4 linked regions of the Saccharomyces cerevisiae S288C genome follow. Changing the gene in region 3 together with the main gene of any one other region gives a genetic interaction. Each region holds a gene or a part of one and is shown on either strand. Other genes may lie near its edges.

The links.
Region 1: mutations in CCH1 (region 3) and ILM1 together harm fitness more than expected from each alone (negative genetic interaction), as found in Saccharomyces cerevisiae (3 studies listed by BioGRID).
Region 2: mutations in CCH1 (region 3) and UME6 together harm fitness more than expected from each alone (negative genetic interaction), as found in Saccharomyces cerevisiae (3 studies listed by BioGRID, with this or other methods).
Region 4: mutations in CCH1 (region 3) and FKS1 together harm fitness more than expected from each alone (negative genetic interaction), as found in Saccharomyces cerevisiae (5 studies listed by BioGRID, with this or other methods).

What each region holds. Positions count from the first base shown.
Region 1 is NC_001142.9:642,990-645,649, reverse strand, and holds ILM1 (Ilm1p), read left to right. Parts: upstream 1-1,548; coding exon 1,549-2,160; downstream 2,161-2,660. Other genes in the region: JHD2 (histone demethylase), read left to right, coding at 1-1,346; STE24 (zinc metalloprotease), read right to left, coding at 2,282-2,660.
Region 2 is NC_001136.10:864,509-869,411, reverse strand, and holds UME6 (DNA-binding transcriptional regulator UME6), read left to right. Parts: upstream 1-1,889; coding exon 1,890-4,400; downstream 4,401-4,903. Other genes in the region: MSS4 (1-phosphatidylinositol-4-phosphate 5-kinase), read right to left, coding at 1-1,188; EBS1 (Ebs1p), read right to left, coding at 4,704-4,903. UniProt on the Saccharomyces cerevisiae protein: Component of the RPD3C(L) histone deacetylase complex (HDAC) responsible for the deacetylation of lysine residues on the N-terminal part of the core histones (H2A, H2B, H3 and H4).
Region 3 is NC_001139.9:923,054-930,739, forward strand, and holds the start of CCH1 (calcium channel protein CCH1), read left to right. Parts: upstream 1-1,642; coding exon 1,643-7,686. Other genes in the region: GPI1 (phosphatidylinositol N-acetylglucosaminyltransferase), read right to left, coding at 1-1,409. UniProt on the Saccharomyces cerevisiae protein: Voltage-gated, high-affinity calcium channel that functions together with MID1 to mediate calcium entry into cells. Required during conditions of environmental stress.
Region 4 is NC_001144.5:808,042-815,999, reverse strand, and holds FKS1 (1,3-beta-D-glucan synthase), read right to left. Parts: upstream 6,004-7,958; coding exon 373-6,003; downstream 1-372. Other genes in the region: YLR342W-A (uncharacterized protein), read right to left, coding at 17-190; SPO77 (Spo77p), read right to left, coding at 7,182-7,958. UniProt on the Saccharomyces cerevisiae protein: Alternate catalytic subunit of the 1,3-beta-glucan synthase (GS) complex. Synthesizes 1,3-beta-glucan, a major structural component of the yeast cell wall. Involved in cell wall synthesis, maintenance and remodeling.

The sequences.
Region 1 (2,660 bases), on a different chromosome or scaffold from region 3:
CTTGTATCGTCGGAAACGGATATTACGGATTCACTCAGGACACGCATGACTATTCTCTACCAGAGTTTCAAGAATATTGTAAACGTCAAAATTCAAGGTTATTACCAGCACGAAAACTGTCTATAGATGAGTTGGAAGAGATGTTTTGGAGCTTAGTGACCAAGAATCGTCGCAGTTCATTAACGACAGTTAAATACGGTGCTGACATACATAACGAATTGCCAGGTCAAATTACCGGCTTTCCGACGAGAGAATTTATACCCAAAAATATAAATGGGGACGAATTGATAGACTACCTCAAATATTGCGATCATCCTATGAATTTAACTAACTTGCCTATGGCTCATAATTCGCTATTACCGTTATTTAAAAGAAATATTTCTGGCATGACTATTCCTTGGATTTACATAGGCTCCTTATTTTCCACATTTTGTTGGCATATGGAAGATCAGTATACCCTAAGTGCTAACTATCAACATGAAGGTGACCCTAAGGTCTGGTACAGCATTCCCGAATCGGGATGTACGAAATTCAACGATCTATTAAATGATATGTCACCAGACTTATTTATCAAACAACCAGACCTACTGCATCAGCTAGTGACTTTAATATCTCCGTACGATCCAAATTTCAAGAAATCAGGTATTCCTGTGTACAAAGCTGTGCAAAAGCCCAACGAATATATTATCACGTTTCCTAAATGTTACCATGCTGGTTTTAATACAGGTTATAATTTTAATGAAGCTGTCAATTTTACTATAGATTTCTGGCTACCATATGGATTTGGTGCGATTACGGATTATAAATTAACTCAGAAAGCATGTGTTTTTGATATGTTTGATTTAATGATCAATGTTTTGGACAAGTACAATAAAGATACTCTATTGTTCAATGATGCTTTTGTTAGGCAATGTTACTCTTCATTGATCGTCTTTTATAATACTGAATTAAAACGCATACGGAAAATTCAGGCCATTGTACCACGGACAACTCTTTTGGAGGTGCATACTGATCCAAACGATGAAGATGAGGAATACGATATATTTTGTTCCCAATGTAAGACTATATGTTCAATAGCCTTTGTATTGCGAAAGAATAACTATGATTCAATTAGAACGTATAAAAGACACAAGAAAAACCATTTAAGTATTAGGCAGTGGAATGAACTATCCACGACGGACAGTAAAGTGAGTATCCTGTGTACGCAGGATTACTTAAAATCAATACAAAACTTGAACAATAGCGACGGTGAAGAACCTTATATTGACGATGAATTGTATTTCACTAAGTCTTTGAAGGATATTGACTCTTTAATAAAGCAAGTTGGTGTTAAGTTAGATAGATAGTCTTCAATATTTGTGTATGGCGTAATGATTTTTTAGAATAATACTTGGCATTTAGCACGCCACTTTTAGCGCGAAAACACCAAAAAAGTAAAGAAAATAATGTCGATCAATCTTTAAAGAGAGACAATTGAATGGTAGTGTAACAATTTACAACATAATAGAGTATCGCATTCAGCAAAAGTAAAGAATAAATTCTAAGAAAATGGCTCAAGCCTTGAACTCCACCAATATTGCTTTTTTCAGAGTAGCATTTTTATTCACGATCGCCTTCTTTTGTTTAAAGAACGTTAATTCTATTTTGCAAAATACATATTTCATAGTCTTAACGCAAGCGATGAATTTACCGCAGTTAACACTGTCACGTTATAGTGGTCAATTGGGTCTTTTCGCTCTTCTGTTTACTCTTAACGGTGTTCATGATCTAATTCCCCTGTTAGAAAACAATGTTAAATACTTCCAATCTGTTGTGCCAGTTAGATTACTAATTTTTTTTATTTTGACAAGTATCTCGTACCTTTGGGAGTCAAACTTTTACGTTCACAATAACTCTGTTTTTATTTACTGTTTTGCAGAAGTTTGGATAAATTTTCTTTTGTATAATGCCATTAGGGAGGAGAAAAATGAAGAGTTCAAAAGATTGAACCAATTCATGGTTAATGATGAGGATATTGAAGAACCCCAACCATTTACCGTGAAGACTGAAACCACAGAAATCATTGAAATAATCAATGATGAAGAAAATGACGATGAAGATGGGAAAGATAATGATGATAACAATGAGAAAGGTAATGATGATAGCGATGCAAAAAAATAAAATGTTTAATCGTTTATTTTTTCTTTCCTTTATTCTTATAGTAGATACCTGTGTATGTATGTAGATATAGACATAACGAAGCTGAATTTAACGGTACATGCTAATATGTGTACTCTATAGATTAGTTTTTCTTCTTTTCACTAACATAGTCTAGAGCGGTCAATCTTTCAGCTAGAGTTGGATGGGAATAATGATAGCTAGAATACAGAGGATCTACATTCATGGTGGAAAGGTTTTTGATTTGTAGATCAATTAGAGCCCTACATAGATTTTGCTTGTAGCCCAATTTTTTAGCATAAGCATCAGCTTGATATTCATGAGTTCTGGAAATTAAACTCATCACGAATTGCATGGCACATTCGAGTGGAGTTAATAAGTCGTTAAATAACATAAATCCAATGATAATGGGGAATTCCTTAGTGATAACGGGATCAACAAAACTGCCAGTGGACTTCTCTAAGAAAAAGCCGAAGGTGTTGTAAAATGATGTATTTCTGTAG
Region 2 (4,903 bases), on a different chromosome or scaffold from region 3:
AATACCAGTTAGCATGTTATAAGCTATAATAAAGTTGACATGGCCTTCACTGACTTTATTACCGATCAAAACACGATCGTCATCCACCAAAAATGTTTTTCTTTTCCTTTTCATTTCTCTTTTATGCAGCAAAGATTGTCTCATCTTCTTAATTTCTGCCGTTGCAGACTCTGATCTTTTCAGACCCGTAGCAGCGGTAGTAGTAGTAGTATTATTATTAACAGCAGCAGCATTAGCAGCGTGATTATGGTTGGTGCCACGACTGTGTTGATAGTAGTGGTCATTCTCTGGCGGCAAAGAAGTGGTTGATTTGGATATCATATGATATTGCTTTGACTTTTGAGAAGGTTGTGGAAGTGGGTGAAGAGGCAAAGAAGTCATTGAGTGACTAATTTTAGTAGCAGAATTTGGTTTCATGCTGGTATCTCCATTGGCCAATTTTATTACATCTGAATCATCCATAGGTAGAATTTGAGAATGCTTGGAAGCGTGAAAGGGAATATTGGGCAGGTTTGAATCCTGAGTATTTCTTCTTTGCTTAATTGTCGTGGAAGTTGCTGTTACTGCCGATATTCTGGAAGATCGCCTCGAAACGCGCTTGTTTAGTAAAATATGATCGTCATTTAAGTCTTGTATATACGAATCTGTGTGAACAAGACTGGAATTGTCCAAATCCAAACAATTATTCGAGTTTAACGAGGGTGTTGTTATTTTCTTCGACTCCTTACCTTCGGGAAAACTATATTTCTGCATTTCCTTGTTACTAGTGCTATTTGGTCGGGGAGAAGTTATGGTGTTTGGATGATCATCATCCGTATTATTATTGCTGTTGTCATGCAAAGGATCAATTGATATTGAGTAGTTTCTCTTCACCAGCCTCGAATTATTTATTGTTGGGTTTAACTCTTCAATAGAGGTCGGAGTGGAAGACTCACCATCTGACAAGCGAGGACTTTCCATGTTTGACTCCGAATTCGATGAAGAATGGTAGCTAGTGTGATTATTGCGATCCTTTTTTATTCGATGGTTCGAATCCGGATTCGAATTCGAATTCGGCACCGAACGGTCTTGATGTCGCTCAATTATTGCAGAGTGCAATAGCGATGGTTCCTGTTCTGTTTTGCGACTGGTGGATGTTGTCAGATGTAGCGGTACAACTGAAGGAGGTTGTGATCGCAAGACTGACATGAGTTAGAAACTATTGATAGGGAAAAGCGATATAGGGCAACTGTCTCGGGGGGTGTAAACAGGTTTCGTACTCTCTTGCTTATGAATGTGCTACTTCTTGTTCCTATTTTTTGTTTCTGTCCTTGTTTTTTCTTTGCTTGTCCCTCCGTATTTGCTTCTTTGTTGTCACGCTTTTGTTATTTCCACCTCTATCTTTCCTCTCTGTCCCATTCCCCATCCATTCCTTTCTTTTTTTTTTTAACCTGTGTTTTGTTTTCCCAGAATGGGCGGCACGTTCTTATGTCCGTAAAAACGGATATACAAAAGCGACACGTCGTCTGAGGTGACACTCCACTCAACCCCACTTGCCCAAAACATGCATTGCTACAAGTAGTAGAGCGCAGTTTTTAAAGTCCATTGGTTGCACACGAAATCACGAGAATAATCACGAGAATAGAATGCACGTTGGATTTCGGGCATCCTATAATTGCCAAGACTGCGCTACTTCTCTTCTGTTTCGGTCCGGGTGACACGTCCGCCGTGCTTCAAGGCGCCTTTTCACCAATGCCAGGCGGAAACTGCCGCCGTCAAAAAGAAAAATGAAAAGAACATAGAGGACAAGGACAAGAGACCAGTGATCGTAAGAAGCGCCCACCTTCGCACAGCGCACAGGAACTAGGACACTACCGCACTCAAACCATTTGCATGGACCTTAACTCACGATGCTAGACAAGGCGCGCTCTCAAAGCAAACACATGGACGAATCTAATGCGGCTGCCTCTCTGCTTTCGATGGAAACAACCGCCAACAATCATCACTATTTGCACAATAAAACATCTCGTGCCACGCTGATGAATAGCAGCCAAGACGGCAAAAAACATGCAGAAGATGAAGTTAGTGATGGAGCTAACTCCCGCCATCCTACAATTTCCAGTGCTAGCATCGAATCTCTCAAGACAACCTACGATGAAAACCCTTTGCTTTCTATTATGAAATCGACATGTGCGCCCAACAACACTCCCGTGCATACTCCGTCTGGTTCGCCGAGTTTGAAAGTCCAAAGTGGCGGAGATATCAAAGACGATCCTAAGGAAAACGATACTACTACTACGACCAATACTACACTTCAAGATCGCCGTGACAGCGATAACGCTGTGCATGCTGCCGCCAGCCCACTCGCGCCTTCCAATACACCTTCGGATCCTAAGTCATTGTGCAATGGCCATGTCGCACAGGCTACAGACCCACAAATTTCCGGTGCTATTCAGCCGCAGTATACTGCAACCAACGAGGATGTTTTCCCTTACTCCTCCACCTCCACTAATAGTAACACTGCCACTACTACTATCGTCGCCGGCGCCAAAAAAAAAATACATTTGCCGCCACCACAAGCTCCAGCGGTTTCTTCCCCCGGTACCACCGCAGCAGGCTCGGGCGCGGGCACGGGCTCGGGCATCCGTTCCCGCACAGGATCGGATTTGCCGCTCATCATTACCAGCGCCAACAAGAACAACGGTAAGACTACCAATTCGCCTATGTCGATACTGAGCAGAAACAACAGTACCAACAACAACGACAATAATTCGATACAAAGCTCAGATTCGAGAGAATCCTCTAATAACAATGAGATTGGCGGGTATTTGCGCGGCGGAACTAAGCGCGGCGGCAGTCCATCTAACGACTCTCAGGTCCAGCATAATGTGCATGATGACCAATGTGCCGTGGGCGTGGCGCCCAGGAACTTCTATTTCAACAAGGATAGAGAGATAACAGACCCAAATGTAAAACTGGACGAGAACGAATCAAAAATCAACATATCGTTCTGGCTAAATTCGAAATACAGAGATGAGGCTTATTCTTTGAATGAATCATCCTCCAACAATGCTAGTTCAAACACGGATACGCCTACAAACTCTCGACATGCGAACACCAGCTCTTCCATTACCAGCAGAAACAATTTCCAGCATTTTAGGTTCAACCAAATACCTTCTCAACCTCCAACTTCCGCATCTTCGTTTACAAGCACAAACAACAACAACCCTCAACGGAACAATATCAATCGCGGTGAAGACCCGTTTGCCACTTCGTCAAGACCTTCTACTGGGTTTTTTTACGGCGATTTGCCGAATCGTAACAATAGAAATAGTCCCTTCCATACAAATGAACAATACATCCCACCACCTCCACCGAAATACATCAATTCTAAATTGGATGGATTGAGATCAAGATTATTGCTCGGTCCGAATTCTGCATCTTCATCTACCAAACTAGACGACGACTTGGGTACAGCAGCAGCAGTGCTATCAAACATGAGATCATCCCCATATAGAACTCATGATAAACCCATTTCCAATGTCAATGACATGAATAACACAAATGCGCTCGGTGTGCCGGCTAGTAGGCCTCATTCGTCATCTTTTCCATCAAAGGGTGTCTTAAGACCAATTCTGTTACGTATCCATAATTCCGAACAACAACCCATTTTCGAAAGCAACAATTCTACAGCTGTTTTTGATGAAGACCAGGACCAAAATCAAGACTTGTCTCCTTACCATTTAAATCTAAACTCTAAAAAGGTTTTAGATCCCACTTTTGAGTCAAGGACAAGGCAAGTTACTTGGAATAAGAATGGTAAGCGAATAGACAGACGCCTTTCTGCTCCAGAACAACAACAGCAACTGGAAGTTCCACCATTGAAAAAATCGAGAAGGTCAGTTGGAAACGCAAGAGTAGCAAGCCAAACCAATAGCGATTATAATTCTCTTGGCGAATCCTCAACTTCGTCAGCTCCATCGTCTCCATCTTTGAAGGCTTCTTCTGGCTTGGCATATACCGCTGATTATCCTAACGCTACTTCGCCGGATTTCGCTAAATCTAAAGGAAAAAATGTCAAGCCTAAGGCAAAATCAAAGGCGAAACAGTCATCAAAGAAAAGACCAAATAATACTACTTCGAAATCAAAAGCAAACAATTCTCAAGAATCGAATAATGCTACTTCCTCAACGTCTCAAGGTACAAGGTCCCGTACTGGTTGCTGGATTTGTAGATTAAGGAAAAAGAAGTGTACCGAGGAAAGACCGCACTGTTTCAACTGTGAAAGGTTGAAATTGGACTGTCACTATGACGCGTTCAAACCAGATTTTGTATCTGATCCAAAGAAAAAACAGATGAAACTGGAGGAAATCAAGAAAAAAACAAAAGAGGCCAAAAGAAGAGCAATGAAAAAAAAATAAAAGCTCACTGAAAAAAAAAAAGAGATATTGTTACTATTATTATTATTATTACTGTCATTAATACTATACTAATAAAGAAAAGGAAAATACGCATAATAATATTTAATTAACAATAATATAACATATATATATATATATATATATGTATGTACTACCATGTAATTTCAAAGACTTTCAAAAGAAGTTATACGTCAATTCTCGTGTACAAATCAGTCAAACTGTAATTCATTCGTACTGATAAGCCAAATTTCTACCTAGTATTCATATGAAGATTTGAAAAACTATGATAAAAAACGAACAATATTAAAACATATTATTCCGACTGTTTCCCCTCATGCTGTCCGTGTTGCTTTGGGCGTCAAAAGGAAATTGCATGTACTTCCCCACATCTTGCTGCATAGGTTGTTGAAACATTTGCCGTTGCGCTTGCGCATATGCTGACGACGGCGCAGATGTCTGGTACTGGTCACCTAGCCACGTTGGATTTGCAAAATTCATTGACT
Region 3 (7,686 bases):
ATCACTGTGGGAGTCAAGAACACTAGAATAATAAATAATAATGTTCCCAATAGCAATTGATCTAGTTGAAAATAGTTATGGTCAATCCTATTTCGTAAAACGTTCCTCTTTTTACCGCAGAACAGGTTAAAAAGACTAGCCATAATATTCAACTGACAATGGTACAGTTTACTGCTGATACGATAAAAAACATATATTGGAAAACTTAAAATTGCAAAAAAATCAATCGCTAGGGAAACAGCAAAAGAAAAGCCAACGAGAAACATCATATATATCGTTAACGTGAGCAAAGATGATAGGGTTTTCGGATCAATGAGTCTTTTTATGAATGTGGTATAAGAAAATTCTATCACCCAAAGAAATAATTCGCTCAAAAAGTTCGCAAGTTCTGCATTTAATTTGATGCCAAGGGGGTTATTTGCTAACGTTTCAGTTATTGTTTTTAATGAATCATATAAAAAAAACTTCAATACTCTATGGGATGCCGACACCAAGAAATCTCGATTCTCAATAAGTATGGCCCCCAATATTAAACCAAATGAAATGTCATTAATAATAAGCCAAATTGTATTATACAATAAAATATAATCGGGATAGAATTTAGAAGGCATATATGAATGTGAGAATTGACTATTAGAATTATCTTTTTCCACCATAGAGCCAACATTCTGTATGTTATCCTTCTTATTAATACGCTCATACTGTACTGGGAAATAGCAAATTTGTTGACAACGAAGATCGATTTGCTGGACAAATGCCGAGTAATTTACCAACTGAAAGTGCGAATAATTTAATAACGAGGATACGAGACTAGCAATAGAGCAGATCACAAAAGTCAAATAAAAACCAATTTTTGCGACCATTTTATAAATACAAGTAGATGAACACCAAGCTGCGACACTATTAAGCATAGTACCCCTCAAATTTTCCTGTGATGTTTGAATAAACGGGTAAAGCTCATTTAATGCTTTACAATATGCGGGGAATAGATTAATGATGTTCAAAGTTTCACTCAATTTCTTATTATCTCTCTTGTATCTTGGATGTTGCTCTAATTTAGAATAGTTCAGAGTTTCACCCACACTACTATGAAGACCAACTTCTTTTTCTGGTATGATGAGCGAGATGGGATCAGAAGAATAGAATTGCATAAATTTCAGCTTGGGTATTCTAAAATGGACATTACAGGGATCAGCAACTTTGTAGTTCCAACCCTCCGCTCCATTGTTCTTAGTAGCTACCACTGAATAAGGGGGCCGTATGCTTACTTCTTCTAAATACTGAGGTTCGCAAACACCTAAGACAACAAAATGCGTCTTCTCAAATGAAATTGCCAAAGCTACCTGAGGTCCTTGAGCTGCGGAATTCTCGAACAAGGATTCGTATGGCCAGAAAATGTAATTTGGCATGTCATTTAACTGTATAAAACCGCCCCTGAATTCGAAGGTTCCTGTTCACAGAGGAATTTTCATTCTTTTTGGTATTATGTTCTGGTAGGTTTTTTTCATATTCTACATTTCGGCATTCTCACTGAAAATAAATATAGATGAGATAGAAGATCATGAATCAATGGTTGGTGACAAGCTAACATAAGGAAAATCAAAATACACGGCATTACTAAATAGAATATATTGTTAGTACTATGCAGGGGAGAAAAAGGACGCTTACGGAACCATTTGAGCCAAATACCAATCCATTTGGGGACAATGCAGCAGTAATGACGGAAAATGTTGAGGATAACAGCGAAACAGATGGTAACCGTCTAGAATCAAAACCACAAGCTTTGGTCCCACCAGCTTTAAATATCGTGCCACCAGAGAGCAGCATCCACAGTACTGAAGAAAAAAAAGGTGACGAGTACAATGGAAATGATAAAGATAGCTCCTTAATCTCCAACATATTTCGTACTCGTGTCGGAAGGAGTAGTCATGAAAACTTGAGCAGGCCTAAACTCTCACTTAAAACAGCATCATTTGGTGCCGCTGAATCTTCCCGGCGTAATGTTTCACCCTCTACAAAATCTGCCAAGTCTAGTTCGCAGTATATTGATTTAAATGATGAAAGGCTACGCAGGCGTAGCTTCAGTAGTTATAGCCGATCATCTAGTAGGCGTGTTTCTAATTCACCAAGCTCAACGGATAGGCCTCCACGGTCGGCAAAGGTTTTATCGCTAATTGCCGCTGATGATATGGATGATTTTGAAGATTTGCAAAAGGGATTTAAAAGTGCAATAGACGAAGAGGGCCTGACATGGCTACCCCAATTAAAATCAGAAAAAAGCCGTCCTGTATCAGACGTTGGAGAAGATAGAGGAGAAGGAGAACAAGAATCTATACCTGACGTTCATACACCCAATGTAGGAGCAAGCGCTACTCCAGGATCAATTCATCTAACACCCGAACCCGCGCAGAATGGTTCGGTATCTGAGGGTCTAGAAGGCTCTATTAATAATTCAAGAAAGAAACCCAGTCCAAAGTTTTTTCATCATTTATCACCGCAAAAAGAAGATAAAGACCAAACAGAAGTTATTGAGTATGCTGAAGACATTCTAGATTTTGAAACCCTTCAAAGAAAACTGGAATCAAGGCCCTTTGTGCTTTATGGACATTCTCTTGGGGTTTTCTCGCCTACGAATCCGCTAAGAATAAAAATTGCTCGTTTTTTGTTGCATAGGCGGTATTCGTTACTTTACAACACTTTGTTAACATTTTATGCCATTCTCCTGGCGATAAGGACATATAACCCTCACAATGTGGTTTTTTTATACCGTTTCTCTAACTGGACCGACTATTTCATTTTTATTTTATCAGCTTGCTTTACAGGCAATGATATTGCTAAAATAATTGCGTTTGGATTTTGGGACGATTCTGAAATGTTTAAAGCCTATGGACGTGAGTATAAATCAATCTTACAGAGATCTGGAATTATGAAACTATACATATATCTGAGAGAAAAGTATGGTAGAAAGCTAATAGATTTCATTATTCCATTTAGGATCATATCGCCGGGAGAAGAGACAAAATATCAACGAAGTTCGTTGAGTACTTCCCTGACGAAACCTTATGGGGCAAAGGAAAATCAGAGGCCTTTTGGCACCCCAAGAGCCTTTGCGAGATCATCGTGGAATAGAATAGATCTGGTATCTTCTGTCAGTTTTTGGCTAGGTATGTTTTTATCCATAAAAAGTTATGATACAAAAACAGGCATAAGAATATTCAAGCCCCTTGCTATATTAAGGATTCTTCGACTTGTAAACGTGGATACTGGTATGCCCTCAATTCTAAGGGGATTGAAATATGGTATCCCACAGTTGGTAAATGTTAGTTCAATGCTAGTTTACTTTTGGATTTTCTTTGGGATTTTGGGAGTACAGATTTTTCAGGGCTCTTTTCGAAGACAATGTGTATGGTTTAACCCTGAAGATCCTACCGATACTTACCAGTACGATATGCAATTCTGTGGTGGTTACCTAGATCCAGTAACAAAACGAAAACAAAATTATATCTATGAAGACGGATCAGAAGGTTCTGTTTCAAAAGGCTTTCTTTGCCCACAATATTCGAAATGTGTTTCCAATGCCAACCCCTACAACGGCAGAATTAGTTTTGATAATATTGTTAATTCCATGGAGCTCGTTTTTGTCATTATGAGTGCGAATACTTTTACTGACTTAATGTACTATACGATGGATTCGGATGAAATGGCTGCCTGTTTGTTTTTTATTGTTTGCATCTTTGTTTTAACTATCTGGCTGCTAAATCTACTCATTGCAGTGTTGGTATCATCTTTTGAAATAGCCAATGAGGAGTACAAAAAGAAAAAGTTCATATATGGTTCTAGAAAGACAGGTTATGTTGCTCGCATAGTAACAGGCTACTGGAAATATTTTAAGCTTAAGGCGAATCAGACAAAATTCCCAAATTGGTCCCAAAAAGGACTAGCTATTTATTCCCACGTTGAGTTTATCTTTGTCATACTTATTATTTGCGATATAGGTATGCGCGCCTCTGTTAAAGTATCGACTTCGGCAAACTGTAACAATATCCTTCTAAAAACTGACAGGGGAATTTCGATTGTTCTCTTCATCGAATCACTGGCAAGGTTAGTATTATATCTGCCCAATATGTGGAAGTTTTTAACAAAACCTAGTTACGTTTACGATTTTATTATATCAATTATTACTCTGGTTATTAGTTGCCTGGCTGTTGAAGGGGTTCTAGGACATATGTATGCCTGGCTATCCATATTCCACATATCCAGATTTTACAGGGTGATTATTTCTTTCAATTTAACAAAAAAACTATGGAAACAAATATTGAGTAATGGTGTTATGATTTGGAACTTATCGTCTTTTTACTTTTTTTTCACCTTTTTGGTTGCTATAATCATGGCTGTGTATTTCGAAGGCGTGATTCCTCCAGAAGAAATGGCAGACCAGCCATTTGGAATGTATTCACTACCGAATTCATTTCTTTCTTTGTTTATAATAGGTTCAACTGAAAATTGGACGGATATCCTATATGCCCTCCAAAAACACTCACCAAACATCTCCTCAACTTTTTTTTGCTCAGTATTTTTTATTATATGGTTTCTACTATCCAACTCAGTGATCTTGAACATTTTCATTGCCCTAATATCAGAAAGCATGGAAGTGAAAGAAGAAGAAAAACGACCACAGCAAATTAAGCATTATCTTAAGTTCGTCTATCCTCAGAAAATACAAGAATATACACACGCTAGTTTGGTTGCGAGAATTCGTAAAAAATTCTTTGGAGGTCATAGGAACGAAGATACAAGAGATTTTAAGCAATTTCTTATGAGAGGAACCGCGATAATGAACATAGCGCAGAATATGGGGGAGTTGGCCGATGAATTCAAAGAGCCACCTTCAGAAAACCTATTTAAAAAGGGCTTATCAAAGCTCACAATTGGGGTTCCGTCACTAAAAAGGCTGAGAATGTTTGCTAATAATCCATTTTATAAAAATAGTGACGTTGTGTTTACAGAAACGAACGATATAAATGGGAGGACGTATATCTTGGAGTTGAATGAGTACGAGGATGAGAAGCTAGATTATTTAAAAAAGTACCCTTTATTCAATTACTCATATTATTTCTTTTCTCCTCAGCATAGATTTCGAAGGTTCTGTCAACGCTTGGTACCACCAAGCACTGGAAAAAGGACTGATGGATCACGATTTTTCGAGGATAGCACTGATCTATACAATAAAAGGAGCTATTTTCATCATATTGAAAGAGATGTATTTGTATTCATTTTCGCACTTGCCACCATTTTACTAATTGTTTGCTCATGTTATGTTACGCCTCTATATCGTATGCATCACAAGATGGGAACTTGGAATTGGTCCTCGGCGTTAGATTGCGCCTTCATTGGTGCCTTCTCAATTGAATTTATCGTGAAAACAGTAGCTGACGGATTTATATATTCTCCAAATGCTTACCTGAGGAATCCATGGAACTTTATTGATTTTTGTGTCCTAATCTCAATGTGGATTAATTTAATTGCATACCTAAAAAACAATGGAAATTTGTCTAGGATTTTCAAGGGATTGACAGCCCTGAGGGCCCTCAGATGCCTCACGATCAGTAACACAGCTCGTCAAACATTTAACCTAGTTATGTTTGATGGTTTAAATAAAATTTTTGAAGCTGGGTTGATTTCACTCAGTTTGCTATTTCCATTTACAGTTTGGGGCTTAAGCATTTTTAAAGGCCGTTTAGGTACTTGCAATGACGGAAGTTTGGGCCGTGCAGATTGTTACAATGAATATTCAAATTCCGTTTTTCAATGGGATATCATGTCTCCAAGGGTTTACCAGCAACCATATCTTCATTTGGACTCTTTCGCAAGCGCTTTTAGTTCATTATACCAAATCATTTCTTTGGAAGGATGGGTTGATTTGTTGGAAAATATGATGAATAGTTCAGGAATAGGTACACCCGCTACGGTAATGGGTTCAGCAGGGAATGCTTTATTCCTCGTTCTGTTTAATTTTTTAAGTATGGTTTTCATCCTGAACTTGTTTGTTTCATTCATTGTTAACAACCAAGCAAGGACAACAGGAAGCGCTTACTTTACCATTGAGGAAAAGGCGTGGCTGGAATCCCAGAAACTTTTATCTCAGGCCAAGCCAAAAGCTATCCCAAATTTAATTGAGTTATCAAGAGTTAGGCAATTTTTCTATCAACTTGCAGTGGAGAAAAAAAATTTCTACTACGCATCGTTTCTTCAGGTAGTACTTTATTTGCACATAATCATGCTCCTGAGTCGAAGCTACAATCCAGGAAACTTGATAGGTTATCAAGGTGTTTATTTTATGTTTTCCACTAGTGTTTTTTTAATTCAAGAGGCACTTCACATGTGCGGTGAAGGACCAAGATTATATTTTAGGCAAAAATGGAACAGCATACGACTCAGTATCATAATTATAGCCTTTATTATGAACGCTGTAGCATTCCACGTTCCAGCCTCTCACTATTGGTTCCACAATATAAAGGGGTTTTTCCTGTTAGTGATATTTTTGTTTATTATTCCTCAAAATGACACACTAACTGAACTATTAGAAACCGCAATGGCAAGCTTACCGCCTATTCTATCATTGACCTACACTTGGGGGGTTTTATTTTTAGTATATGCTATTGCTTTGAATCAAATCTTCGGCCTAACAAGGTTAGGGAGTAATACGACCGATAACATAAATTTTAGAACTGTAATCAAATCCATGATTGTTCTGTTTAGATGTAGTTTTGGTGAGGGCTGGAATTATATCATGGCCGACCTAACTGTGTCAGAACCTTATTGCTCCTCTGATGATAATTCAACCTATACGGACTGTGGATCAGAGACATATGCCTATTTGTTATTAATGTCGTGGAATATTATTTCCATGTATATTTTTGTGAATATGTTTGTTTCGTTGATTATTGGTAATTTCAGTTATGTTTACCGTAGCGGTGGATCTCGCTCTGGCATCAACAGATCGGAGATAAAAAAATACATTGAAGCTTGGTCCAAATTTGATACTGATGGAACTGGCGAGCTTGAGCTGTCCTACCTCCCAAGAATAATGCATTCATTTGACGGTCCTCTTTCATTTAAAATTTGGGAAGGTAGATTGACAATAAAAAGTCTAGTCGAGAACTACATGGAGGTTAACCCAGATGATCCATATGACGTCAAAATAGACCTGATCGGACTGAACAAAGAGCTGAATACGATTGATAAAGCAAAGATCATACAGAGGAAGTTACAGTACAGAAGATTTGTACAAAGCATTCACTATACGAATGCTTATAATGGATGTATCAGATTCTCGGATTTGTTATTACAAATACCTCTCTATACAGCTTATTCTGCAAGGGAATGTCTAGGTATTGATCAATATGTCCATCATCTATATATCCTGGGTAAAGTGGACAAGTACTTAGAAAATCAAAGAAACTTCGATGTATTGGAGATGGTGGTAACAAGATGGAAATTTCATTGCAGGATGAAACGTACCATTGAACCCGAATGGGATGTTAAAGATCCCACAGTATCGTCTCACATTTCGAATATAAACGTAAATCTGGAACCTGCTCCAGGAATTTTAGAAAGAGAACCTATTGCGACACCTAGAATGGACTACGGTGTTAACAATTTTATGTGGTCTCCGAGAATGAATCA
Region 4 (7,958 bases), on a different chromosome or scaffold from region 3:
GCTCGCAACTATCTAGCTAAATTAATTCATTTACAATCAGAGTGACACAAATTTTTTCAGAATTACTGACACCGAAAGCTGCTCCGTTTTTTATAAATAGAGGCCGATACTGGTGAAAAAAACTAGACAAAAGACTGTTTATAATCACATAACTGTACAAAAAAACCCTTATTGGCATAAACACATTCATATACCTATAATATAAAACTAAATTAAAAAGACGCTTCCAAAAATAAGTAAAAAAGCATCAACATTAAAACAATCTAAACCAAAAACATCGAACGGTATTTGCAACATCTTGAGAGTTTCTGGTCTACTTGCTTTTGGATAGAATATCAGTAAAATCAAGCGTTCAAGCAAGTATTGATTGTATTATTTTATAGTTGACCAGGTCTTTAATGATGGCGTATGAGTATAGTAGTGACTTTGATAAGTTGACATTTGGGAACCAGTGTCATTATTGGTTGTATTTATTGGTTGGAATAGATTGTGAACAACGCCATCCAATGAATCTCCAATGTGTTTGTGGATCTTAGCAGAGGCTACAGCAGGACCAATAATGCATCCTGCAAAAATAGCCAATACTAAAAAGTACAAAGAGCAGTACTTCTTGACCATACGCTTACGCAAACGAGTTTGCTTCAGAGAGTAAATTGGGGGACGAATTTGACGAGAGGGCTTTAGCCAGAATAGCATAATCGAGTGGAATTTATCTATTTTTGGGATTATAATGAGTGGCAGTTGACAGATTAAAATCACATGACCTAGAACAAAATCAGCTGCAAATTCTGAAAGCTCAATTACCTTGGCGGTTAATTCTCTACTTGGCTGGGTCCAAGCCATGTAACCCATACCTTTACCATACCACTTACCAGTCCAGAAGGCTGTATTGGCATGATCGTTTTTAAATTCACGAGTCAACATTAACGCTGTCATGCAATGAAAAATGAGTCTTTGACATTGGATACAAGTAACGACTCCGATTAACATTCTAACAAAGTTGAAGCTCTCCAAAACCCACATGACAATGAAAAAGGCAATGTGGACAATAACAGCAACACCGTGGGCAATTCCAGCCATTACAGAACCTGTCTTCTTACAACACATACCAAATAAGGGACCAGAGCAGCATGACATACCCATACAGAAGAATAGAACACCGAGGTTAACGGCGATTGGCGCCAAGGTACAAATGATGATACGTAAAACAGAATTCACCCTATCATCATCAGTAGTCTTGACACCGGTTTGAGCATTAATAAACGTGAAGGCAATAAAACAACCAGCTGCATAAATTGCACAGGGTATGATTTCAGCCATGATCAAATTGGTTCTATGAGCCCTGCTTGCGTCACCAGCAGCTTTCTCAGATTCATCGCCAACCAGTTTACGTTTAAACCCAGTAATACGTGCCCTAGACATCCTCACGTAACCAATCCACGAGTTTCTATGATATTGATTATTACCTCTTGATAACCATCTGATATAATCCCTGTAATCCAAAAAGAAATCTTCCCAAGCAAACTGATGTGGATTGAAAACGAAAGGCGCAAAAATTAATGAAGATAGAGAGGCCCAAAACCACAGTAGTGGAGCTTGCCAATGTGCGACAGTACCGAACAGCAACATTAACATTGATCTTGCACCCATGTAGATAGCAGATCCTGCAAATCTTGAATACAAAATTGAAAATGGTATACGAGAAGTTGCAAAACCACGACCGGTGGATATATAACGAGCACCACCAATTGCTAAATCACTTAATAACGCAGAAGAGTAGATTTGGCCCGCAAACACTTCGAACATAGGGGATAATGATAATAGGTGGCAGAAAAATCTTTGGGTGGCTTTCCATAGACCACGTTCAATTAGTTCTTGAACAACAATAGGAACGAAGGCAATCCAGAAAACAATGAAAATAGACAATGTATAACGTCTCACCCAATCAACCGCAGGTTGGAAGTTGTAACACCCAATTGGAACCAAAACATCTGTTTTTGGTTTGTTCCTATCGTAAATACACATAATAGATTCATGGGCCAAGGAAGATAAATTCACCAAAGTCAACATAAACATTTGCAAAGATAATTGAATGAACAAGTTGTTCAAATGGAAACCAGGATGGGCATAATAGAATGTTAGGAAACGGTCCACTGGTAATTGGGTACCCAGATAATAATATTCACGAGATAACATTTGTTCACCCATACCAGCACCAATCTTAGTAGTGAAATTTAGAATTGTACCGAAACCCAAATCTCTACCTTTACCACATTGATAATACTCACAATGCTTGATACGACCACCACGAAGCATAGCATTCATACCAGCATAAATATCTTCGTTTAAATGCAAACCCTTTTGTGCTTTGGAAACACCACCTCTAGTGGTCATAAACGTAGCATTAATGAAATCCGGATGACCATAATGCAATTTACCACCAATTTGAGATAAAGTACGCGCAAATAATGTACCAAAAGTTTGTTCTTTACCAGCGGCCACATCACCCAGCACACCAGAGTTTTCAGAGAAAATGTATTCTCTGGCACCAACAATAGCAACAGGATGATTAGTTGTTTGCTCCTCATACCTTAAACCGGGAGCATATGGATTAACTTGTTCAACGTTCAATTCCTCAAATTCAGCCAATACAGATCTAATCTTCAGACATTCTTCCAAGTAGTTATCTTGGTTGGCATCAATTAATTGAATGTATTCACCTCTGTAAAAAATCAAAGCATGGTTTTGGTTATCAGATTTACCGTCACCAAGAATTGGGTTACCAGATAATTGAACTCTAAACTTGGGACGTCTACGACCATTATCTAGAATTTCACAATGTCCATCAATCAAAGCGGAATAGATTCTTGGCTCCTCACCTTCAGTCAAAGGTGGCTCTTCATCCAAGTAGGCAATTTGTAAGTCTGGGTAAGCTCTCAACAAAAACTCAGCATTTTCCAGTTCATGTGGTTTGAATTTAGCCAATCTCTGCATAGAGACCAAAAATTTAAACTTTCTTCTTGCCATCTTTTCTAGCTCTCTTTCTAAGCCTTCAGCATTACCACCAAACATTTGAACAATTTCAGGATTTTCCACACGATACAGTAATTTGATAGCTCTTGAATAATTCATGAACCCTGAAATGGTACGATATAGAGTCTGCGACCTCAAAGAAGCCCAAATTCTCGTACGAAGTGTATATTCTGGAGCAGCAGATTTAAAACCAATACAATAAAATGGCAAATCATCGATTTGAGATTTCAAAGCATCTTCCTTTTCAGCTTCATTTTCATTTCCTTCATAGGCAGCGGTTTCTTCAGCCAAAATCTTAGTATCCTTAACAAAACATTCCCATTCAACGGGATGTAATTGTTTTAGATATTCTAAAAGAGTAACTCTAGAAAATTGGTCATCTTCACGAATAATTTCTCTTAATGACAGCAGAATTCTTTCCGCGTAGTGAGGAGTCAATACTGTGAACGTTGGCATGTTATCAACTGGAAGTGGTTCGGGAATTGGAGTAGACAAAGATTGAGCAAAGAAAGAAATACGACGCTCAGCCTCTGAATCCCTAGGGAAAAATTCAGTCTCAAAATTATTGTCATCTTGAGAAACAAAGAAGGTAGGAGCTCTCAAAGTTCTTTTACCTTCGATTTCAGATGGAACTTGATGATATAGTAATTTTTGTACATGGTCGATGGCTAAGAGATGTTCTCTGTACATTGAAATAATGATGGCATTCCATACTTGAGAAATCAAAACCTTTGGTTTGTATTTAATTTCCATATCAGTAGTAGCCAAAATCTTGGAGTATATTCTTTTTGGCAATCTTGTGAAGATATTTCTCCATGGTGTTAAGATAGAAATACCTAAATAGAAAGATTTCCCAACAGAGAAAATGGTATTCACAATAATGTACCATAAGTAGGTATCCAAGAAGAAAAGAATGAAGTCGGTAGCGATAACCAAACCTAAGACAATCTTGGGTTGCACTTTACAAAGTACCGCACCCCACCAGTATTCACCTGTACACCTCATTGCAGTGGTGGACAAAATTCTAATTGGATCTCTCAAAGATAAAACTAAAAAGTAGTACGATTCTGAATATTTGGCAGCAAAAACAGTAACCCAAACTAAATAGGACATCCATCTATCTAACCCATGTAGAGGGGCAAATGCAGCAGTGAATGTTTGAGATGCAACATAACGCCTTGTAGATTTTTTCATATATGACGTAAACAACCCCCCCAATGGCATAATGGAGAAGAATATGATGGTAGCAACCGCAACAAAGAACATAACAGCAGCAACAACGTGTGCAGCAGTGGAGTAGACTGTATCTTTGTCGTAAGCAAAAACAAAAATAATAGGACCCAAATTAATACCAAAGATGATGCATAAAAACCAGAATCTACGAGATAGATGTTGAGCACCAGCCCATTTTCTTGGAACGAATGACCATTCACACAAAGTAGCGACAATTTGAATCAAACTTGCGACAGTACCACCTAATGCGCAAGATGCCCACTTGTAAGCAGCCAAAGGTTGGTTGTCGACCAATTGTTGATAGTTATGAGTGTAAAATGTTGGTGAATTATATGCAAAGTACATCCAAAAAATGGAGATATGCATAACCCAAATACGGTTGAAGTTGGTGACCAAATGTAACCAAGTACGGGTCTCTTTATATGTTTTGAAGAATACATCATCCCAGACGACATCGCCTAATCTTAAATAACGTTCTTCCAATGGGAGTTCTATCAATTTTGTTCCATCTTCAAGAACAATCTTTGCAATACCTTCTGGATACCAGAACAATTGGTTTAAATCATCATAACCGACAATTTTGTTATGATCTCTTTCACGCTTGACAAAACGACCATCAACAATTTCATAAACTTGATTTCTGATGAAATGATAAATTGGCGTAATGACTCTATTCAAGAAATCACCTTCTGGCATAGGTTCTTGGCGTTGTTGGCAAAGAGGGGAATCCAAGTAGTCAAGAGCACACTTGTAGATAAAACATAAACATTCAGCAGTGAATCTGACTTGATTAGCTTCACCCCAACATAACAGATATAAGGCGATATGACGAACTCTTTCCAGGGGAGACAACTGGTTCATCTTGGCCTTCCATCTAAAATCAGCAGCCTCTAGGGAGTTGTCGCCTTCAATTTTGTTTAAAGTTTCTTCAGTGTCTTCGGGATTGGCCTCTTCCATTGCTTTCTTGTTTTTCTTCTTAGCTTTTCTTGCCTTCCTTGAGAGTTTTCCAAGACTCATATTTCTAAAACCAATTTCATCATCCATATCTAACTGAGCAGCAAAATACCATTTTTTATAGTTAGCAGTATCGCCACCAATGTAGTCGGCATGTAAAGATAGTAAAGCTTGATCAGGAGACATTCTCGAGGACCTAGAGTCCAAGAGAACCATAAAATGATCAAACATATTTCTCATGGAGTCTCTTTGGAACCCGAGTCTGTTGGTCAAATCAATAAAGATATCTTCGATTTGCTCGATCGAAACGGGAGATTGAGAGTCAGCAGTCCAAGCGGGATAAGGTTCATTTGGCAAAGCCATAGCGATAGCATTTGGGTCATAATTACCGTAAATTGGAGTCGAGGTACCCGACGAATTTGGTTCTCCATAACTCATTTGAGAAGCGGTATACTGACCACCATAGCTATCATATCCAGGTGTTCCAGGAGGGCCGTAACTGCTAAAATCCGAGAAGTTTTCACCGTCTTGAGCAGCCATATTTGGCGGTTGACCATAGTATTCACCGTTTGTGTAGTCTTGGTCGTAAGACTCGTTTGGTGGTTGTTGACCATACATATCAGCTTCAGTACCAGCAGCGACATTTGGATCGTAGTAACCATCAGCTTGTGAAGGATACAAAGGCTGGCCATATTGGTCATAGTCTTGTTCCTGACTTTGCCCGTTACCTGGTCCCTGGGTATAGTCCGTTTGGCCCTGATAAGGTTGTTGATCAGTGTTCATGGTCTGACCGTTGTATGAAAGACTTGATTTCAGCTACTTGCTTATTTTAATTTTTTTGAGCGAACGTAAGAGAGGTTAATGTCCTCTAACTATCAGTCCAATGACAGTATTTTCTCCTTCTCACAAACTACAATAAATATCTACCAATCTCTTTTCGAATAAGGACTAATGATATACGCTAGTTCCTGTTTGGTAAATGAAGGCTAGTGTTCGAGAATGGAGAACTTCGTAGTCGGTTAAAACAGCTGTAGTGTTCTGGCCTTCTTAGAAAGAATAAATAGTTCAGGAGTAAAATCAAAATATCTTTTAATATAAACTAAGACAAAGAAAGAAACAAGAATTTTGATCTGAAAAAATCGAAAAAAAGGAACGAATGGATCGATGAAAATTTTCGAGACTAGGTTATAATTATTTCTTTTTTTAGATTTGTGCGCGTAAAAAACGGAACCAGAAGAAGCCAAAAAAAAAAGAAATTCTTCCTGTGCTTCATCAAAACGCGAAAATTCGTCGCCCAGTAAGTGAGACTATTTCCTATAATAGAAATCCAAGTGGCAAAAGCGTTAGACGCAGTACAAGGACGCGTTAAGAAAAATTTCGAGAGAGTCGCCGATAGTAGGATTAGAGTTTCATAACGCGTTACACGGAAGGAGAGCAGTAAGGAGGGCCCGATACAGAAAAAAAAATGGCGCTTGTTACAGATTCTGATTGCCCGTACATGACATGGTCTTTCTTTTCTTTTTCGTTAATATTTCTGCTTTTTCATGTGTGTCGAAAATAGTTAGCTCGATAAGATACTGTGATAGGCAAAAAGAAAGTTTGTCCTTCCGCATCGGTGCTGTCCCTCCTTAGCTGAGGGTTCGGTGTACCTGTGCTTTTTCGGAACCAGTTCTTGGCCCGCTAAAAATCGCTACGTCCATCCCTTTGTCTTAGTCAAGCACGAAGGAATTCGAAGTTTATCGTAATTTTGCTTTGTTCTGGTCCCTTGGTTTTCTCTTTTTGCATAAATCTGGCAGTATCGTAAAATGTGATTTGCACAAACCAATGCACAGAGGAGAGTTGAAGTACAGATAGAATGCGTTTACGACATTACTTAGGCCTTTCCAGGGCGCGAAAAGACAAAATATGGATTGCCCTTGCTAATTGTGTAGATGTTTGCATGCCGCGGTTTTATCGCTGCGTCACATATGGGATTTTGATTGATTCAAAGCCTTGATATTATCAATAAATGGTTCAATCACATCCCATTTATTGAATTGGAGGCCTTCTTCGTCCTCTTCTGTACTTGAAGTGATTGATTCAGATTCTGCGTTTGAGGACTCTCTTTGTTGGCTTTGCTTCATATCTTGAACAGTTCCGTTGCACCAAGCGCTCAAGAGTTGTTGCCGTTTTCCTTCATTGTTCTTTAACCAGAGTTGAATAATTTCATCAATTCCCAAAAATAACTGCGGAATCTGGTGCTCAAAGACAATTTTTATGAGAATTTCAATAAATGACAAAAATACTTCATCGGAAAATTTTTCTAAAAAATTGACAGAATACATGAACTTAACGATCAAGATAAAGCATTTTTGAATCTCTAAAACAATCGTTGAAAATACTCTACTGAAAAGAACGTAGTTGATAATAGTGTTTCTATTGTGGCATTGATCTTGTTCTTTTAGCTCGATTCCGAATTTGAAAGTTTCCAAAATAGAATTGGAAAAATGCTTCAAACGGCACATTATGTCCACTATATTTGTGGAGGGATACTGACCCTTTAGCTTGCAAATTATGTACTTGTCATTGTAGCATTTCAAATCTGCATCAAACATTTGTAATAAGTTTATGTTCTTTATCAACGTTTCGACCCAAATATCGTGCACAATGAACTCAATTGTGTTAATGAAAGTAGATTTTTCGAAAGCCTCATCAGAAGAGTCGGCCAAGAGTTCAATGTCTTCAAAAAAGTTTAATAA